Caenorhabditis elegans: one gene and its partners. The protein of the gene in region 3 purifies or fractionates together with the protein of the main gene of each other region. This does not show direct contact. Each region holds a gene or a part of one and is shown on either strand. Other genes may lie near its edges.

Evidence for each region. Proteins that work in one complex are often made in the same cells at the same time.
Region 1: the proteins of sec-16A.1 (region 3) and sec-31 purify together in Caenorhabditis elegans (affinity purification with mass spectrometry, with the first as the bait; one study listed by BioGRID). This does not show direct contact.
Region 2: the proteins of sec-16A.1 (region 3) and sec-23 purify together in Caenorhabditis elegans (affinity purification with mass spectrometry, with the first as the bait; one study listed by BioGRID). This does not show direct contact.

What each region holds. Positions count from the first base shown.
Region 1 is NC_003282.8:11,365,717-11,373,740, forward strand, and holds the start of sec-31 (WD_REPEATS_REGION domain-containing protein), read right to left. Parts: upstream 6,077-8,024; 5' UTR 6,037-6,076; coding exon 5,971-6,036; intron 5,924-5,970; coding exon 5,784-5,923; intron 5,738-5,783; coding exon 5,543-5,737; intron 5,495-5,542; coding exon 5,278-5,494; intron 5,233-5,277; coding exon 5,060-5,232; intron 4,955-5,059; coding exon 4,567-4,954; intron 2,808-4,566; coding exon 2,713-2,807; intron 2,668-2,712; coding exon 2,195-2,667; intron 2,148-2,194; coding exon 1,893-2,147; intron 1,846-1,892; coding exon 1,691-1,845; intron 1,644-1,690; coding exon 1,386-1,643; intron 1,340-1,385; coding exon 1,187-1,339; intron 1,137-1,186; coding exon 896-1,136; intron 850-895; coding exon 581-849; intron 534-580; coding exon 414-533; intron 276-413; coding exon 222-275; 3' UTR 1-221. Other genes in the region: Chitin-binding domain protein cbd-1, read left to right, coding at 7,278-7,323, 7,371-7,465, 7,511-8,024.
Region 2 is NC_003283.11:20,089,563-20,094,338, reverse strand, and holds the start of sec-23 (Protein transport protein SEC23), read right to left. Parts: upstream 3,077-4,776; 5' UTR 3,072-3,076; coding exon 2,934-3,071; intron 2,182-2,933; coding exon 2,087-2,181; intron 2,032-2,086; coding exon 1,887-2,031; intron 1,838-1,886; coding exon 1,748-1,837; intron 1,474-1,747; coding exon 1,360-1,473; intron 87-1,359; exon of another isoform or gene 1-86. Other genes in the region: dcs-1 (m7GpppX diphosphatase), read left to right, coding at 3,597-3,713, 3,801-3,981, 4,029-4,174.
Region 3 is NC_003281.10:9,123,689-9,131,368, forward strand, and holds sec-16A.1 (Protein transport protein sec-16A.1), read left to right. Parts: upstream 1-2,150; coding exon 2,151-2,165; intron 2,166-2,538; coding exon 2,539-2,578; intron 2,579-2,632; coding exon 2,633-2,732; intron 2,733-2,791; coding exon 2,792-2,959; intron 2,960-3,004; coding exon 3,005-3,599; intron 3,600-3,645; coding exon 3,646-3,758; intron 3,759-3,803; coding exon 3,804-4,242; intron 4,243-4,291; coding exon 4,292-4,447; intron 4,448-4,492; coding exon 4,493-4,768; intron 4,769-4,814; coding exon 4,815-5,020; intron 5,021-5,067; coding exon 5,068-6,139; intron 6,140-6,194; coding exon 6,195-6,344; intron 6,345-6,396; coding exon 6,397-6,682; intron 6,683-6,731; coding exon 6,732-6,814; 3' UTR 6,815-7,119; downstream 7,120-7,680. Other genes in the region: Protein ced-11, read left to right, coding at 109-415, 465-1,031, 1,080-1,364; ZK512.10 (DUF4752 family protein), read left to right, coding at 7,206-7,220, 7,267-7,357, 7,405-7,517, 7,570-7,620. UniProt on the Caenorhabditis elegans protein: Plays a role in the organization of the endoplasmic reticulum exit sites (ERES), also known as transitional endoplasmic reticulum (tER).

The sequences.
Region 1 (8,024 bases), on a different chromosome or scaffold from region 3:
GGGACTATAAAGCAATATCTAATTTTAAGTATTGGCAGGAATTTTTGGGGGTATTGGAAAGTCGTATTACACGCAATAATTATTTGGGACAAAACAGTTTACACGATTTTACACACGAAGCAAATGAAATATAATATATTCAAAATGTTGGCATTTTTGATAATTGATAATCAAAATCACATAACAATGAAGGCAACACTCTCATTATGACGCGGAGAAGATTAATGAGAGGCGAGCGAAAGAAGCGACTTTAGAGCCGGAAGGAACGACGAAATCTGCAAAAAAGACGAGTTGAACAAATAAGATAATGAAGAGATTATTTCTTTTTGGAGAACAATTCACTGTGCTTTACATATAAAACAATACGAATTGGCTTTCCATTTTTGTTAAATAAATCATAATACAAAATTCACCTCAACAAAATCTCCTGAATTCCGTGCCATTTGTGCCACAACTGCTTGAGCTTCACGAATCTGCCGCATGGAAACAAAGTAAGCCATATGAGTTAGATGCTGCTTCGATTCGGGAGACAACTGAATATTTAGATTTCAAATTATTTTGAAAATTAATGAAACCGTACCCTATTCGCAGCAAGACGCGGTGAGAGCTCTGCCTGAATACGAGTTCTCAAATCCTGAGCTTTTTCCATTCTAGCCTGAATTCTGGCATTTTCAATGATACACTGAGCCAATGTATTAATGGGTTCAATAATTTTCTCATCTTCCGGTGATAATTGGATTGGAGCTGGAGCTACAACGGATGCTGCAGAAGCCGGTCTCTGTTGATAAGAGTTTGGAGATGGAAAAGCTGAAGACGCTGCAGATGATTGTTGATTGTGAATACTCATTCCTGAAAATATAGATATATGCACAAATTGAAGAATTTAGAGTATTACCTTGAATTCCATTAGTCATCACATTTTGATACCCTCCTGCAAATCCGTTCAACTGCTGCCCAGTCATCATTCCACCAGGAGCTTGGGCAGTTTCTATAGGTTTCCAATTGATTTCCATCACATTTTGCTTTGGCTGGGCAACAGTGGTAGGCTTCAAAGCCATTGGAGGAGGATCATTCCAACCGGGAGTAACTGGAGCAACTGGTTTAGATGGTGGCATGTTCGCTGGCATTGTTGGTGGCTGAAATGAAAAGAAACTATGATTCTGTTCCGGATATTATAAAAACTCACTGGTTTATGATCCCATGATGGTGTCTGATAAAAAGTGGAAGATGGTGGCATTGGTGTCAAATTGGAATTTCTTCGATTATTCGAGTAATCCATAGGAGGTGGTGGACATTGAGAATGAGATGGATTATACGGGTTAAAACCATTTACGAGATTCTAAATTTTGGATAAATATATAAATTTAAAGTAAACTAACAAATACCGGTGGGGGAATAGGTGCCGGTTGTTGATATGTCCGTGTCGGTTGAACAATGGGTGGCTGTTGAGCTCTAGGTAGAGCGACATCAAACGGATTAAATGGTGGTTGATCCCCTGTACAATCTCGACCTCCGGCAACATTATAGCAAGTCCATTGAAGCTCTTGCATTTCAGCAGAACCATTTTGAGACCACTTAACCAAATTCCATGCGACGGAACCTGCGCCTTGAATGAGAAGTTCATTGGCGAAGTTCATGATTAGCTAAAAATTATCGTTTACGAGTTTGGAGATAATCTTGATTTTTCTACCTTCTCTAATCCATCCGAATACTTGGCACCTTTCGATACTTGATGAAGTATTAAAGCCTGTTTCAGTCGATCCACTAGTGTGAAGGATGTATTGGCAAGTAAGAGATGATCAATGTCTCCGGCAATCAAAAAAGCAATACAAGCACGGAGAGGTTCTGGAAACAAATTGAATCTATGATGTATTATTTTAAAATTCGCTAACTTCCTTGTTCCAACCATCGCTTTCCAATGCATTTTGCTGCTAATCTGATATCTGTCGCATTTGATTCGTGAGCAATTATGAAGCCAAGAAGCTCTGACCACTTTTGATCGGGGAAAGTTTGGAGAATACTTCCAATTTGCTGAGAAACCTCTTGTTCAGATGATTGCTTTGAAGGAGTGATTTCTGTTTTGTTAGCCGACGAGGACGATGAAAGTGCAAGAATTATAGAAGATAGAGGACTCGAGTTGTTGAATTCTGAAATTTCAAATTATAATTACAATATACAGCTCGAAAACGATTACTTTTATTATAATCATCAAGAATCATTGCCAAATGATCTGTTTCGTGTTGAGCAGCGTACATCATTGCGGCTACGTGTTGATTTGAGGAGATTAGAACACGAATGACTTCAAGATGATCTTGTCGAATTGTATGAAGAAGAAGATCCCATCCTGAGTTATCCAAAGTCGACCAATTAACACTAGAACATCTTTCAATGACTGTTACTTCCGGAATATCAATGTCAGTGTCTGCGCCGGAAACAACAGAAGTTGAACGAGCAGATCTATCAGGTATTGCCGTAGGTTGAATATTTGGATTTGAGACTGCTGATGCTGCGTTCTTCTCGGAAAACTCCTCATCCTGTGATTCTACAAGTCCTAAATAATTTAGCATCTTTGTGCGTCCAGCTCCTTCCTGTAGCGCGAGAAGAATAAGCCAAACTTTTCGTGTAAGATCTGCTTCTTCTGAAGTATCGCTTGATGGGGCATATGCTCTGAAGTTTTTAATTTTGATAATTTTAATCTGAAAATATAATTACCTCTCATGAAGATACCATCCTAAGTTTCGTTTATCATCCTTAATATGTAGATACTGAGCAATGTCGTTGACACCAACATCGTTTTCTGGAACTATCTGAAAATAGAAAAACTTCTGCCTTCTTCCTATATTAAATCCGGAAAGTGCAAGGGTCGTCACTTTTTGCGCAAAAAGTGTAACAAAAAATTTAAAAAGTTGGGTGTGCACTTTCGTCTGTAACTTTGCTGTACCTGCACATTTTTTAATTTTCTTTTTTGTAGGAAATAGAGAATCGCTTTTTCTATCTTATTATCTAAATGGTTATTTGATTTGATTTCATCTTTTAAGAGAAATTCTTGATGAAACACGAAAAAATCACTTTTTTCGCGTGTAGTGTCGCTTTTTTTGCACACGTTTAGAGGTCATAGTATAAAATGTTTTTGATAAGGTAACTGTATATCTGGGATTGATAAAAATTTTTAGTTTTTGCAATTTCATCAATTTTGAACTGAGTTATGATGATTTGAAAATCGGACTCGAAAAATCCCGGAATTTCGAAAATTGCGTTGAAAACATGTTTAACGTTCGTATTTTTGTTTTATTTTACATTATCAAATGTAAATTTTAACGTAGATTCCGTTTTTCTAAATAGTTTTCTCATTATCCAACCGGAAAGTTACGAAAAAAGCATAAATTGACGATTTTTCAATGAAATTGTGCGCAACCCCTTGGTGTGCAAATTAGTGATTTTTGAGATTCTTTCGGCTGTAAGTCGGTCAGTTTGGCACTTTTTGGGGTAAATTTTTCGAAAAACGTATTTTTCAGGAAATTTACTCTTCAAAAATATAATTTTTTTTACAAAAAAGTCAAAAATAACTTCAGAAATCGCAAATTTCTGCATTTTCTCAAAAAAATGACGTTTTTGCTGGAAAAATAAAAAATTTTCCACTACCGAATGGGATTTTATGTTAAATTCGTAATTAGTACATAAATACCGAATGCAAGCTGAAAGCACAGTCCTCTACGATCATTTTCAACGAATTTAGTTTATTTAATTTTTGACCTCGAAATTTCAATTTTCCTCTTTTCCTGGACCAGTTTTCTGTTGGATAATGAATTTTATGTCCTAATTCTTATTATTTTTGCTATGAGAAGCGAGACAAACTAAAATTTTTTGGTCATGAGTTCCTCGAGCCCCGTTCCTGAAGTTGTAGGCTTCAGGCCATGCTTAGGAAGCTCAAAAGTTCATTCTTCACCAATTTCTAAAATTTCAAATGCTATCATATTCTCCTTTTAACGCTGAGTTCAAGTATATACTTTTAATTTTTCAATTCCTACTATGAACAAAGTTACGACGCGTCGAAGTTTGAAAAGTCTTTGCCCGGCCCCCTCCTTCCCCTCATCCGCCAGTGGTAGTTGTATTATTCAACTCACCTGGGTACCCAACTCTTCCCAAAAATCAACATATTTGAATTATCAGTCATATAGTGGAGATATTCTTCTACTCGACACATCGTCACCCCACCATAAACCCCTCAAACATGTCGTCTTTGGCTGTCCACGTGTACATGTACATACAATTGCAATTGTTTTGAATAATTCTTGCCTGTGGCAACCTTTTTGACTATCCCTACAGTATATTTGATTACTTACATATTTTTGTTCTATTATAGCAGGCCGAAGGCCTGCTATACTGGTTCAGGAAGCCACGCAGGCCGTAGGCCTGCGGTGCGAGACCCAAAACATTGCCAATCGCACGTTCGAGGCGAAGCCGAGAACCCGCGCCAGCTAGCGGACTCGCCCCAACCCAACCTCTACTAGCGGGCCCCATAGGGCCCGCTAGTCAAAAACGAGATTTGTTATAAAATTTCAATACCGTTTCAATTTCCACATTATGGTGCCATTGTTGGGTCATTGCATCGTAGGACTTCCAGAATGTTGCCAACCGTCCACCTAATGCTATTGATGAGCCAATTAAGGGAGCACGGTGCCATGCAGGAACAAATTGATCGGAGATCCTAGCGGCAAGTACATCGGCTCCTGGTTGCGGAGATCCAAGACTAGTCAATGAGGATATTTGAACAGGATGTTGGAAATATTGAATAGCAAATTGTGATGGCTCCTCTTCATTCCATTTAACATTTCGGATCCAGTCTCCTTGAAGACTTCCAACACCTCCAAGCACCTCAGATGTTTCGTGATTCCATATAACCACTTGTCCATCACAGCCAGATGAAATTACAAGACGATCATCAGCTTTGTTCCTGTATTAATATTTTTCGTAATTTTTATATAGTTTTTTGTACAAAAATAAATTGTCTAGCTCAATTTTTATTATATAATCAACAAACTTTTAAATAAAAACTTACCAGTCAACACTCGTAATTCCCATATTATGATGTCTGTATTCTTTAACTGGTGTTGAAGTGAATCTCGAATCCCATTTCTGAATAACAGAGGCGTGTTGAGATTGGCTGGAAACTATAAGTTGTGAGGCGTCCGAAGGATTCCAAGAGAGCGAAGACCAATCACAGCCAGGAATCTGCAAATAGAACTTTAATAGCCACCAGGCAATTGAAAATCCAACCTCTGCGAATTCTAACACCGGCGATCCATTTCTTCTCAAATCCCAAAAACTGACTCTTCTGGACGATATGGAAGCAAACACAGACTCGTTCTTCAAGTTCCAGCGAAGAAGTTTCACTTGATCTGGGAAATTTGGCGAACCGGGAGAGAATGGTGTTTTCAGATTTGCGCAATCCCAGAGAAGAATTTGTCCTGAGCCTCCACCAGAAGCCATCCATCTTAAAAATTATTTTTTTGAATTGTTCTTGTAAACTTTCATTTCATACCTGCCGTCCCTGGAAACATCAATAGTGAGAACATGCCCATGATGATCTCTTCGAGAAAGAAGAACTTCTAGTGATTGATTCTTGATAAATTTATCAGCATCAAAAAATACCACAGTTCCGTCCTCTGTACCGCCAGCAATTATTCCGTTCGGATGTGCATCGGAACACAGAGAAGTCCAGGCTAATTCATTGAATCTAAAATTATGAAATACACTATACCGCTTCACATTATAATTCTCACCGATAATTAGTGGCATGCGACACATTCGGGGCCAAATTCGATTTTTCATATATCTCACTTGCTGGCAAAAAATCGATCTTTGGTTCGATTGATGTTGCAGTCGGGTCAAAAAACTGAGCGAAATCAGCAACAATTAAGCCCTGAAAATTTGATTTATTTCAATTATAGACGAAGATTGATTAATTACCTTTTTCTGAATTCCACGTGGACTCCAGACAAATACGCCGGAACGTGAGTAGAGCTTCGAGCTCATCGATCGTGTTCCGTTTAATGAGCAATTGTTGTAACTTTAGCTGTAACGTTGACGTGGATGAATGAGAGCAGCTGAACAGGGAGTAAGTGCGCTCCTTTGCACTCGAACAAATAGGAGGAAGTGAAAGTTTTTAAAAGAGTAGTCTTGATGTAATTCAGACAGCTAGAAACACCGATATCGAACGGAAAAGAAAAATGGCAGAATGAATGTTCCTTAGAATGTTCCGCATATAAAAATTGGGACTCCCAATTTGGGAGGAGTAATTCAAAATATTTCAATATCAAAAAGTGAACTCATCGCACCAATTTTCGAAAAAATAGAAGCTTCTTATTTAAAAATGTTTAAGAAAAATATCAAAAAGAAAATAAAACACTAATTGTTATATGTTTAAGAAATCAGACAATGTTTTTTCAAGTTATGTCGCGCGGACAGAGAAAACAGAGAATACACAAATTCTACTAATAGCTATTGAAAGAAGCGAGGAAAAAAGTTCATTAAAAACCTTAATTTCGCTATTCCCGAAGGAAAACGAAACGATGATTTTAAAAATCAAAAAAAAAATTGATTTTCCGTGGATCTGCAAAACGACGTGAAGTGTCTTTGCGTACTTTTGCATACCGTAGTCAAGTAAGCCGCTAATGTCCAAACTTTCTATTTAAAGTTATAATTATTTAAACCGACTATGAATTTTTAGAAGTTAATTTTTTTGTTTCAGAAAATTAACAAAAAATTGGATGCAATTAAAATTAAATCAACCAAAAAAACATATTTTGGAAAATGGAAACGGTTGGTATTAAAGGATCATGTATGTTGTTAGTTGGGTCTCGCCACGATTGCTAACTAATACCGTACTCTGTTATTTTTGGGCCGCACAATTCTTTAGTTTTTCTTAATTTTGAAAATATCTTGAATTTTCTCATAATATTTTGTTTGTTTTCATTAATTTTATGATCTAAAATTAATTTTTAAAGAATAAAATTGAGCAAATGTATGCCAATACCCATTTCAGACATGTAAAAGTGCAGTAGATCAAAAATTATTTGACCCCAGTTTTAGGCTCGAGCGGGAAATTTTTTGGATTGAGTTTTCAACCTCGAATGTTCCATTTCATTCCTTCTTCATTAGCTCTAATTTTTATTAGTTTCTCCTGAAATGGCGACCATTTTGAACCTTTTCTGTTTTTATTTCGTAAAACTTTTAAGTTAAAATATTCATCCTCTAACTGTTATCAATTTCAGGCGATGGGGCCACAGCTAGCCACCGTCTCGCTGCTTCTACTAACATTTTGTGAGTTTCTGCCTCTTTCTTTTCAATCAAATATTTTTATTTTCCAGTTTCGAATTCTATTCAATACCCGCACTCACCAGCAGCCACAGAATGCCCTGCATACTTCAACGGAAACATAGCAGGAAATGCATGCAGTCGGGAGGTAAACCAGTAGCCCTCCGTTTCAAATATAATTCTTTATTTTCAGTACTCGATATGTGTGAACGGAGTCAGGCAAGCAGCCACCTGCAGCGATGATTCTGTCTTCTACGAAGACGAATGTGTGCCAGTCGACGAATCTCCAGAATGTCGAGTAGATGAAAACACTGAAGAAGATGACACCCCATATGCGGAATTCGACTGCACATCGAAACAGGATGGCATCTACTCCATTGGCTGCTCTAACCAGTTTATCAGCTGCGTCGCCGGCGGAGCCTACATGGCGAAATGTCCTGATAGCTTGGTCTTTAACGAAAGAACCCAAGATTGTCGTGAATCTTGCGACGAAGTGAAACAGGACACAACTACTGCACCACAAGTCTACGAAGATGGTGAAGAAGGATACGGAGAAGCTTCCGGTGAGATTGCTGGAGATTACGAACGTCAACCGTCGAACGAGCAGCCGGATTCAATTGACTTCGATTGCAACGGTCTGGAAGACGGAAACTACGCCGACGGTTGCAATGACGTATTCTACTCATGCAGCAACAACATGGTGTTCC
Region 2 (4,776 bases), on a different chromosome or scaffold from region 3:
CTGAATAATAATAATAATAATAATAATAATAATAATAATAACATGTTCAATATGTCTTATGAAGTTTGAATAAAAAAGTGTATAGTCGGTGTATAGTCGTTAATTAACCTATTAACTTAAAGGTGGTGTAGTCGAAAATTATTGAAAATTCACAGATTTCAGTGAAAAATTCGAACAAAACAAGGCTATACACTTTTTAATTCAATTTTCCATCCAAAATCTTATAATTCTATTCATTGGTTAGTAGTATGGTAATTCAATTAAATAATGCGCTACTTATGCTCAATTGACCCAGTTTTCTCGAAAAAGTAGGATTCTTCATAAAAAATAAATGTTAAATTGAATGTTATACTATATATATAGTTGTTCTGAAACGTTACAGCTCTGCGGAATAGGTAAAGGTGGTGTAGTCGAATTTTTTTTATTGCCTTATTAGACTCAAAATTGTCTGAAAACACCGAATTTCATAATGAAACTTCTTGAAAACTTGACAAAAAAAAGTTATGGCGGCTCAAAAAATGGCCTAAAATTAGTTAAAATTTGAAATTTGACCGACTTGTCAAGCGGCTGGAAACACTTTTTTTTTGAAATCACCGTCAAATTTTGAGTTTACAAGTTGATTATCTTGCGTTTTAAACTTGATTAAGGTATTTAAAAATCGATGTACGGCGAGATTTTTAATTTTTTTTATCGATAAACTCGCCGTCCATCGATTTTTAAATAGCTTAATCAAGTTTAAAACGCAAGATAATCAACTTGTAAACTCAAAATTTAACGATGATTTCAAAAAAAAAAATTTCCAGCCGCTGCGACATTGATAAGTTAGTCAAATTTCCGATTTTAACTAATTTTAGGCCATTTTTTGAGCCGTCATAACCTTTTTTTGAAAAGTTTTCAAGAAGTTTTATTATGAAATTCGGTGTTTTCAGACAATTTTGAGTCTAAATAAAGCAATTTGAAAAAAATCGACGACACCACCTTTAACTATTCCGCATTTTAGAGCTTTAACGTTTCAGAACAACTATATATATAGTATAACATTTAATTTAACATCTATTTTTAATGAAGAATCCTACTTTTTCGAGAAAACTGGTCAATTGAGCATATTGAGCGCATTATTTAATTGAATTACTATACTAGTAACCAATGAATAGAATTATAAGATTTTGGATGGAAAATTGAATTAAAAAGTGTATAGTCTTGTTTTGTTCGAATTGTTCACTGAAATCCGAGAATTTTCAATAATTCTCTAATTTTTCGCTATTCATTTTGCATTTACTTAGTGTTTTTTTTTTGGCATTTTTCGGCATTTTTCAGGCTTCTAACCCAAAAAATCCAATTTTCCCTGCAATTTATTACCTTGAAAACGTAGCTTCTCGAGATTCCCTGAGTGTTGAGCTCATGCAGCTGGACCATTCTACCGTAGGTGATCAATCCGACGAGAGCATCGGCTGGGAGCAGCGAGAGAGCAGTCTGAAATTGGAAAAATTGGGAAATTTTGCCCAAAAATCTGAATTTTACGGCAAAAATTGCCAATTTTCATGAAAAATAACACTATTATGTTTAAAAAAGTCGAATTTTCAAGCGAAAATGAGCAGAAATTCCCATTTTTCAGCAGAAATTCCCATTTTTGAGTGAAAAAATCACAAATTTTGAGTTGGAAAACCGACGAATTTTCGAGCAATTTTCCGCGAAAATTTTAAAAAACCGCCGTTTTTTTCTCAATTTTCTGCAATTTGTCCCGTACTTGAAGGCATTCTTTCAGCGATTTCAGCTCCTCTGCAGTCATACACGTGTCGACGACGAAAACGAAGATCGGCGGCATTGTGGTGGCTTTCTGGAATAAAGATTTGGCTTAAAACTCGGATTTTTCAGCATTTTCTCACTCGAAGCGTGTACTCAATGGTTGTAAATTGTGGATAGAGCTCCGGCGGGCGGTTATCCTCGGCAATTGCCGCATAATGAGCCGGGAACGGATTCCGATTGTTGCAGAATGGGCACATCCAGATTTTGGCGCGATAATCGACGGCGCTGAAAGCATCATTTTTCGGGGTGAAAATCGGGCAAAAAAAGGCCTGAAACTCACCAAAGTGGGTTTAAAATCGCTTTACAGCTGGCTTTTTGGCACAAAACCGGATCATATTCCAGTGGTGGTTGGGCGACTTCTGTTGATGGGCGCTCCTGGAAAAAAAATTTGGTTTTTGAGAGAAATTTGATGAGAAATCGTGAAATTTCAGCTTAAAATCGGCTTGAACTCCGCAAAATTGGATTAGCAGCGCCTAAAGCTTGTAGTTTGTAGTTTAGCAGCGCCTAAAGCTTGTAGTTTGTAGTTTCAGCAGCGCCCAAAATTGGATTAGCAGCGCCCAAAACGTGTAGTTTGTAGTTTAGCAGCGCCCAAAATTGAATTAGCAGCGCCCAAAACTTGTAGTTTGTAGTTTTAGCAGCGTTCAAAATTGGATTAGCAGCGCCCAAAACTTGTAGTTTGTAGTCTAAGCAGCGCCCAAAATTGAATTTTTTTTTTGCGTTTCTCAGCGGAATTTTACGATTTTTGCAGAGATTACCGACTTTTTAAGGTAAAAATGCAGAAATTCCGATGGAAATTGAGAAAAAAATCGCGTTTTTAATCGAAAAATTGCTGAAATTCATGCCTTCGGTGTTTCGAAGCTGCCGATCGGCTCGAGCAGCTACCAAATTTGAATTTTTAGAAGATTATAACGAATTTCTGGCAAAAAATGAAGCAATCCACTAAAATTTGCAAAGATTCGGAGAAAATTGATGGAATTTCGATGGATTTGAAGAAAAATTGCTGAAAATAGGCTTTTCCTCAGCTTTTGGCGCTGCTCGGCAGCTACAAAATCCAATTTTCAATGCTTAAAATTCAATAATTCCACGAAAAATTCGAAGAAAATCCAGTTTCCGCGCCTCAGTTTTACCTTCAGCGGCGTGAAAAAGCAGGTGAGCGGGACGACAAGCTTCTGAGAATCCACTCGACTGTGTGGCCACATGTTCCACGTGAATTGGACGCCATCGTTCGCCTGTTGAGCACCCAAATATTCTTCCCAAGTGGCCATTTTTACTGGAATAAACTGGTAATGAACTTTTTATCGCGGAAAATGATGAAAAACGAGGAGAATACGTGGATTACGTGTGAAATTCTGGTTTTTCACCATTAAATTTTAATTTTATTAATATAAAACACTGAAAATCACGTTTAATAGCGAAAAATCGAGTTTTTTGGGTTTTTATGGTTGCCCAATCAATTTTCGTCATTTTTTCGACATATGCAAGGTGAAAACTATGATTTTTACACTAAAATCAATAAAAATCGACTTATTTTCAATATTTTAGCAAGAAAAATCAGAAAAAATGGTGAAAAACGAGTGAAAATCTGCAAAATTCCAACAGAAAATGTACACGTGGAGGAAGATGGCCGAGAAAAGAATTGGAGTTTTCTAGGCCGCGGCCAGTGTGTTGTTTTACGATGCGTGACACTTTTGAAAATGTTTTTTGAGTTGGTTTTCTCGATTTCTACCGTTTTTCGTTGCAATTTCTGTATCTTTTTGGTGAATAATAAGTGAAAATCTCGATTTTTCAGTATGAAACGGATCGCCGACGAGGAACTTGTGCGAGAGGAGCGTGCAGAGGAGAGTACACAGAAATGGCTGCAGGATGCCAAGTTTCAAGAGATTTTAGGCGCTGATTCGTCGCATAAGGTGAGAAAATCAATAAAAAGTGAATTTTTTGCATTAAGAAACAATAAATTTCACCTAAAAATCATAAAAATCAATATTTTCTTCCAGTCTCTCTTCGTTTTGCTCTCCCATCCCGATGGATCTCAAGGCATTCTGCTTGCCAACAAGTCTCCGTTTTCCGAAGAAAAATCCGATATCGAGAAGCTTCTGGCGACTGCACAGCTTCAAGAAATCTCCAGAAATGACATTTTCGGGTCCTATAATATAGAAATCGATCCCAAATTGAATTGTAATCCACACAATCTTGCTTAAATTAATTTTTAATTCAATTTTCAGTGCTAAAATCTCAACTAATCTACCCGATAAACGATCGTCTCATTGCAAAATACCGTCAGGAGGAGAAATTCGTGATTCGAGAGACTCCAGAGCTTTATGAGACTGTTACAAGGCCGTATATTGAGAAATATCAGCTGAATCTCAATGTAAGCAGCGAAAAAATGAAGAAAATCGGAGAAAATACCAAGAAAATGAGTTTAGCAGCGCCCAAAACGTGTAGTTTGTAGTTTAGCAGCGCCCAAAACTTGTAGTTTGTAGTCTTAGCAGCGCCCAAAATTGAATTAGCAGCGCCCAAATCTTGTAGTTTGTAGTCTTAGCAGCGCCCAAAATTGAATTAGCAGCGCCCAAATCTTGTAGTTTGTAGTCTTAGCAGCGCCCAAAATTGAATTAGCAGCGCCTAAAACGTGTAGTTTGTAGTGTTAGCAGCGCCCAAAACGTGTAGTTTGTAGTCTAAGCAGCGCCCAAAATTGAATTAGCAGCGCCCAAAACGTGTAGTTTGTAGTCTAAGCAGCGCCCAAAATCACGATTATCGATTTTCACTCGTTTTTCTTCGATTTTTTCGAATTTTTTGATTTTTCTTTTGGTTTTAAGTGAAAAACAAGACAGAAAATGAGAATATTCTGCAAAAAATTGACAAAAACCATTAAAAATTCGTAGATTTTCTCTGTTTTTCAGAGTTTTTAGCGTTCAAAGTGAATAAAAATTCGGAAATTAGTAGAAATACTGAAAATCGCACAATTTTAAATGA
Region 3 (7,680 bases):
AGTTGATATGTATATGGTCAAAAAATATTTATCAAAAAGCAACATTTTAGAACTGACAAAAAGACAAAATACTGACGGTACTCCATCTTTGAGGTCATCAATTTTCAGACTGCGCCCACCACTTCCTCCACCACTTACCATTTTCTGTCTCATTTGCTCGGCTTGTTGTCGCTTCTCCAACTCATTCTCCGGTTTCTTCTCAGACTTTGATCATCCTGATTTCGAAGCGAGAGACAAGTGCAGAACCACGTGGAAATTTGGATCAATCTACCGTAACCCATCTGTTCCATTCAAGAGAAACGAGTTTGTGAACTCATTCTGGAGAAAGCTTTCGATGGAACAATGGAAAAATACACAGCAGAAAGCGAAGATATCAGCAAACAAATCAGAACTTCAGGAACTTCATAATATTCATGTAAGATTTATTTTTTTAAACACAAGTTTAAAACTGAAAATAATTTCAGAACCACATTCGAATGATGACTTTGCGAGATTCATATGAAAATTCGGGTACACGAAAAGCTTCAGAACTTCAATTTTTCGAGAAATACCCAGAAAGTAACATTCTGAAGATTAGTGTGAACATGGTGTCTAAGCCATGGACAGTGCTTGTACCTAGATACAATCCCCCCTTCTATTGTAAGCCTGCGGAAGATTTTCCATCAGATGTGCAAAAGTATGTTGATATTGCCACGGAGCAAAATGTTGGAGAACTAAAACGAATTTGGAGAAGCCGTCAGGCAAATGATGTTACTAGTAGTAATGATAAATGTTGGAAGCTCTCAGCTGCCGGCTTCCCATTGAATCCGAATGGTCGAACTGGAATGGCTGGAAGAGGAAATCATCCGAGATTTGGTGCTAATCGACGTTGTTATTATGTCGTTTTGAGTGGTGGAGTTGAAGCGAAATGTCAAGTTCTAGTTGATAGTCAGAAGAATATTCCAAATGAATGGCATCTGGAGAACTCGTCGAAAGATGAACATCTGACATCTATTTTGAAGATGATTGGAATTTCAGATTCTGACGCTCATGTAAGTAACCAAAAAGATTACTTTTAAAAATTTGTGATGTATTTTCAGATGTTTTCAATGCGACGTTTGGATAGCTCAATTATCACTGCGGACAAAAGAATACCATCCAATGACACGAGTCCTGCTCATTTGGCTTCAGAAGTTGCAGAAAATGAAAACGATACAGACAACGCGTGGACGGAGCATGATGTTTGGGCTATTTCTCTCCGAGAACGACGTATAATAACCACAATTATCGGTTATTCGTGGCTTCCTACGAGTGCAATTCGTGGAACAGTGCTTCCATGGCAAGCAGATCTTGTTTTCCGAGCAAAGACAATATACGGGTTATAATGCTACAACTTTCATAAATTATGAATTCACTTAAATTGTTATTCGATGTTTGTTTTTTAAAGCTGATAGCTAAGAGATAATTTAATAAAGCTTGGAAGAATAAAAATAAAGCACTCACCAAAACACATATAATGAGAGGCCTAACAAAAAATGTAGGGGTACTGTAGCAGTTTTGAAACAAATTTTTCTAAATATTGTAGAGCGATTGTTGGTTAGGTTTGCGGAGTGTTGTGCAGTAAAACTGTAAGAACTGTCGCGAATGCGGAGAACCAAGAATACTTCTCCTTGTCGCCACTTTATTACTTAATATTATTTCCTTTAATTTAACACAATTATTATGTATATTCATTAATTAATTATCGTCATCTTCCTTGTTTTTCCCGTTATTTTTGGTCCGTTTAGGTGTGACACGGAGATAAAAGATACCTTAGCAAAATAAGTTCTTTTCGTGAAAAAACAAATCTTCGTATTTATTAAACAACTTTGTTTCTGTTAACAAATAAATAAATCCTTGCTTTCGATTTTACGATTTTGTGGCTACGGTACACAATGTTCACTCCGCAAGCACCGAAACTGACGACAGTTTTTCTATCAGTTATTTTTTTCATTCAACCTCGAACTTTTTTCGCGTTTATTCATTTCTCGCGTGAACTTTTTGTCTTATTTTATTTTTAAGCTTGGCTTCACGTGGCACCGCGCTTTTAACACATCCGTGCGGCGTTTTGAATTGAACTTTAAATTGGAAATTCCCAAAAACCCACGATTTTTATGGATTTCGAATGGAAAATGCGGCGATACAGGGTAAGATTTCCCAAAATTGTAATTTTAAATCTTAAGGCCATTAAGAAAACAAGTAAAAACCGAATTTATTTTACCATTTGGAAGAATAAAAAACAAAATTCATATCATTTTCCCATTCACTTTCACCTGTTCGTATCACTTCCAACAAAGGAAAACTGAACTATTCTTGTTTTCAATTTTCCCATTTTCCCATATTCCCCACAGCAGCCCTTTCCGTGCATTTTTGCGTCGCCGTGTTGGCACTAAAGTGACACGGTTGACCTCAATTTGCCCCTTCTTTTCTTTTCTTCCCTTGTCTTCTGCCTCTCTATATTTACCCAACAGACTTTAACATCTCGACACTTAACTTGTATATTCGCCTAATTTATTACAGATCGATTCTATGAAGTATGAACAACGAATGAATGCCGGAGGTATGATAAAATTCGATTTATCAACAATTTTTATCAATCACTATTCATTTTCAGCTTCTGGTTTCGATATGAGTGACTGGAATAATCCTTACAATGCTTCACCTCCGTCTTCTAGAGGAGGCGATGATGACGCTTCATCCGTTAACCATTCAAGGTCAGTGAATACAAGAATTTCACACGCCGATCGATATCTTTTCATCGCTTTTTTTTCAGGCCTCGACGCAGTCGGCTGGACAACGATATTCCACAACCAAGAAGACCCATTCTTATTCAACCAGCTCGCCCAGTATCTCAAAAGAGTAACCGGCAGGGTACTGGAATGAGTAATGGTTCAAGAGGCCTCAACTCAACTTTCAATGGATATGACCGTACTTATTCAAGGTTTAAAACAAGGGAGTTTCTTCTTCTAATTATGGAAATTTGCAGATATCACCAAAACTCTTCACGTGGCCCAAGCGAAGGTTTCTCTGGTGCTCCTTCAGCTCGAAATGCATCTGGATATGCGAGTGATTACGCGAATAGTCGTGCTGGTGTGGGATTGCTGCCGAACAACCACCGTGAGCCTGTGAGACCACGATCAACTGCTGCTGAAAGATATGCGAACGCATCTTCAATGAGAAATGGTTTTGTATATGATAGTGGAGAGTCTGATAAGACTTCAGAAGAGCTGGAAGAAGACGAAGAAGAGGAAGAAGTACGAAATTTTTATATGGAAGGACGAGCACAAGGCTCCAGGAGTGTAACAAATACCCTTGCCTCTGAAGTTTATAATAGCGAAAGTGAAAGCTATTACTACGGAGTTGTGAAACTTGGCTCTGCTATTGTTGATCATGTGTTCCGAACGATGCCTCCTCCGGAAAAATACTATAAGATGCCGCCAATCGACCGTGTCGCTTATGTATTCTACTGTGCCGTTAATAACAAACCTTACAACAATATTGATGAGTTTCACGTAATTTTTAATCGTGAATTCTACTCCTACCGCGGGTATGGTGATTCTAAAGATCTGGCACTTTTTAAGGTAAGATTACTGACAAAATTGAATTGCTTCATATTTTAAATTACAGGTTTGCAAGCGGATGCAAGAAGAATTCTCCCTGAAGCAACTGGAAGCCGACAGATTGGCGTACGAAAAAGCACGACAAGAAGCTGCAGAGAGCGAGAAACTGGATTTCAATCAGTGAGTATGGAACCAACGGTACAATGAGCAAAAATATTATTATAGGCATAAAATCGAGGAACGCGAAGAGCCAAAACTTAACATCTCGCAACCCGAAGAAGTGTTGAGCAACGGACCACTTCATTATCACTCCTGCCTTCAGTTTGCTACCATTGGTGTTGGAGGAAAATTGGTGATCATTAAACCAGCGGGAACCATCGATAGTATCACTGGACATGTTCTAAGTACATCCAGCGTTCATGTGGATGATCTGAAAACATTTCTTCATTTCGATGAACAATCTGGAAAAGTGATCGAATCAGTTCAGAACTTTAAAGGACCACTGATTGCTGGACAAACTCCAACTCATTCCGTTCGTCTCTACATCCAACGACAAATCGACGCTCTTCGCCAGATCAGAAATGCTGGTGACGTAAAGAAAAGTGAGGTGGTGGATGCTCTTCTCGTCTGGCAATTGCTCGAAATCATGGTTCAGCAACATGGAGTAAGAATTGTTTTAATTTGAGAACTTAGTAGGAATTTAACATTTTAAGAGAGTCACCGGACCCGATGTAGCAACACTGCTGACAAATGCCTCGGAAGAACTTGGTGAAAAAACTGGAATTTCAAGCAATGGGACATCCGAGTCTGGTTCGAAGTTCGAAGCAAAGGAGCGGTTCAATAAGTATCTTCTTGGTGGTCACATTAATGTAATTTTGTCTAATCTTGTTAATTAAATAATTATAATTTTTCAGGAAGCTGTTGAAAGTGCTATAACCGATGGACTCTATGCCGACGCAATGACATTGATCCGTAGACTGCATCCAAATGACGCTAAGAAAATTGAGGAAATCGAGGCACGATTTATGAATCTTCGTTCCATTGACGATCCATTCGCAACACTGGTTGCAGTTTCAAGTGATCAACCACCTCCGATTCTGACGAATTCGGCGTTCGATGATGACAACAATTGGAAACGACATGCGGCCATTGTTCTTGCGAATCTAAACTCGCAGACCGCTATGCAAACGGTACGGCAGGAGAAAAGCAAAACTAAAACTGTAAAATTTTTTTCAGATCTATCATCTCGGCTTGCTCCTAGCAAAAAGAGAACGAAACTGTGCTGCTGATTTCTGTCTCCTTGTTGTATGCATTCTGGCTGGTTATGATCCATTTATTCCAGTGGCTCACGACGGAGATGAAACTTCGAGAAAGCACATCGGCCTTGTGCATAGTGGATCTAACTTGTTGAATCGAGTTGATGGACTATCAGGAACCGCTGGGTAAGATTACTTAACACAATATGCATAACATAAAACATGCTTTTCAGATTCTCATTCACTGATCTTCATGCTACTGATATTTTTGATTATGCTCTCCGACTGGGAAATAACAATGTCGATTCACCACTAGCAAAATCGATTGATTATCAGTTAGCTCGTATTGAATACGCAAAGAAGCTGTCGTCTTTTGGTGGATTTGCTACGGATGCGTTCAGATATTGTACAGAAGTAGCAAGATCGTTGTGGATGTATGTCGCAGCTTTCGATAAAAATGCAATGTTTGATCTTTGCGATCTGGCTGAGAGTCTTCAATACATGGCTGCCGCAACTCCTGATGAAAGTGGTTGGATTACAACTATGAGAGGAATGCTAGGTGCAGCTCCAGTTCAAGAATCTCAACAACATGTTCCACAGCCACAACCAGTGGAAAACAAATCTATTTCGTCTGAAGCTAAAAAATGGCATGATGAGCATCAAGCGCCGCTGGAGATTGGATCACGTAACGATCAACAACATAACGATAAAACTGTCGAGAAACCAATTGCACCCGGACGTGCTTCTTTGCCTCCACCTACCCTGGTTACTGAATCGTCATCTGAATCGACATTTACAGATAAATCCGATTCTTCGGTTACTGTCGCTGCGTCAGCATCAAGAACTTCAACGTTGACCTCATCCACTTTACCACCACCACCATCCCTTCCAAAAACTATCGAAAAACCAATCTCAACACCACCACCAATTTCTAAAAATGTTGTTCCTGAGATGACGCCTCCAGCGATTGTGAAGCCACCGATGCCAACGTTATCGATGCCTATTCCACCTGTCAGTACTCCAATCATGGTATCACCTCAACCTATTCCTATTCCGAAACCTGTTGACGCCAGCATTGCAAAAAGTCCTCGTTCGGAACTGGATGATTTATGGGACACTTCACCGCCAAGCAATCAAACTTCATATCCACCTGCACCGCGAAATATTCAACCATCTTATTCGCCTGCACCTAACTTTGCAAACCCAACAGCTCCAAGTGTACCAACACCACCACCAGCCGTTTCTTCTGCTCCGGTTCTTCAACAAGCAACACTAGGACAAGCATCTATTCCAAATGCTAAAACTGTGAGTTTTCTGTGAAACCTTCAGAATGACAAGTAATTATTTTTAATTATTAAAGACTGCGCCGCCTGTCCCACAGAAACAACCTGAACTTGCATTGAATGAACGAAAAGCATCTAAAGGATGGTTCGGATCGATTAAGGAAAAAGTCATCAAATCGATTCCATCAGCAAACCAAATGATCCTGCCTGACGATTCAAAGCCAAGTGTATGTTAATTTGAAAGCCGATTTTTTGAATATCAAATATTCATTTGTTCAGATCGTTTGGGATCCTGTTCAGAAAAGATATGTTGGTGCTGGAGTAGAAGAAGAGGTCGTAGCTGCTCCACCGCCAGTCATGTCAGCTCCTCATTTGATGGGTGGAGGTCCTGATTCTAACAAATCGAGCACGAATAGTCTGCGAAGTGCTAGAAGTGGAGTTGGATCACGATATCTTCAATCGGGAATGGCCACTAGCCAAGCACCAGCTATGGACACTGGAATGCCACCGATGATGCCTCCAACCATGCCAATGTCATTCAGCTTTATGCCTGCACCCACTGAAGGTATAATTAATTGAGAATTAGTTTTTTCTTCAATTAATTTCATTTTCAGATGATTCCTCCGAATATGTTGATCCATTCAGCGGTGAACCAACGGCTCCTTCCGAATCATTATCCAAACAGAATAACGATTAATATGCTTCAATTCTTCCAAATTATATGTGTTGTCGTCCCCATCGCCTTTTGTATCCCCCTCCCACCCACTATCATTCTTTCAAATAACCATTTCCTGTTATCTGGTCAGGCCCGTTTCCTCTAAAAACTTCTGTGATTATTCCATAGTATCTTCCTTCTTTTTTGTTGTGCAACTATATATGTTACGGTTTTATCTGAAAAATAAGTAGGCTAGTTTTTCTTTGTTCTGACGAGAAAATATGTGCTCTGAATTGATTCTCTGGTAAATAAATATATACTGAAATGAATAAATATAATGTACCGTGAAATCACTATTTGAATTTTACATTTGAAATCGAATTAAAAACAAAACAAAAAACTAATCGAATACCATTATTTCGCAAATTCGAAAATGTATCAACTGGACGTGAGTTTTCTCTTAATATTTCTGATTGATGTTCGAATATTTAAAGTCTTGGTACTCAGTGCTCTTCGAGCTTCTTCTCGTCGGTTTTTCTCTCTACAACTCGCTCAGAATGACTACTTGGTGGGATACCGTAGCCAGTAGGTCACAATTATTTTCAGGCAGTTTCCAGAAAAAAGATTTTCAGAAGGAGCATCTATCGCAGTGAATGGAGCAGCGAAACATTCACCTTCGGTCGCTGATCACTACGGTATTCGTACTGATAAAAATAGTGTTAGAAGCTATAGAAAGAGTAGCGTCGTGAGTTTTATTGAGACTAATTGAATAAATGTGTATATTTCCAAAATTTCAGAGATCACCAATTACGTTCGAAATGGGAGATGGGATTGAAGTAGCTCACTGATGGATCGTAATTTATTGGAAAAATGACGTTCAGAATAAATTTGATATTGATTAATTTTTG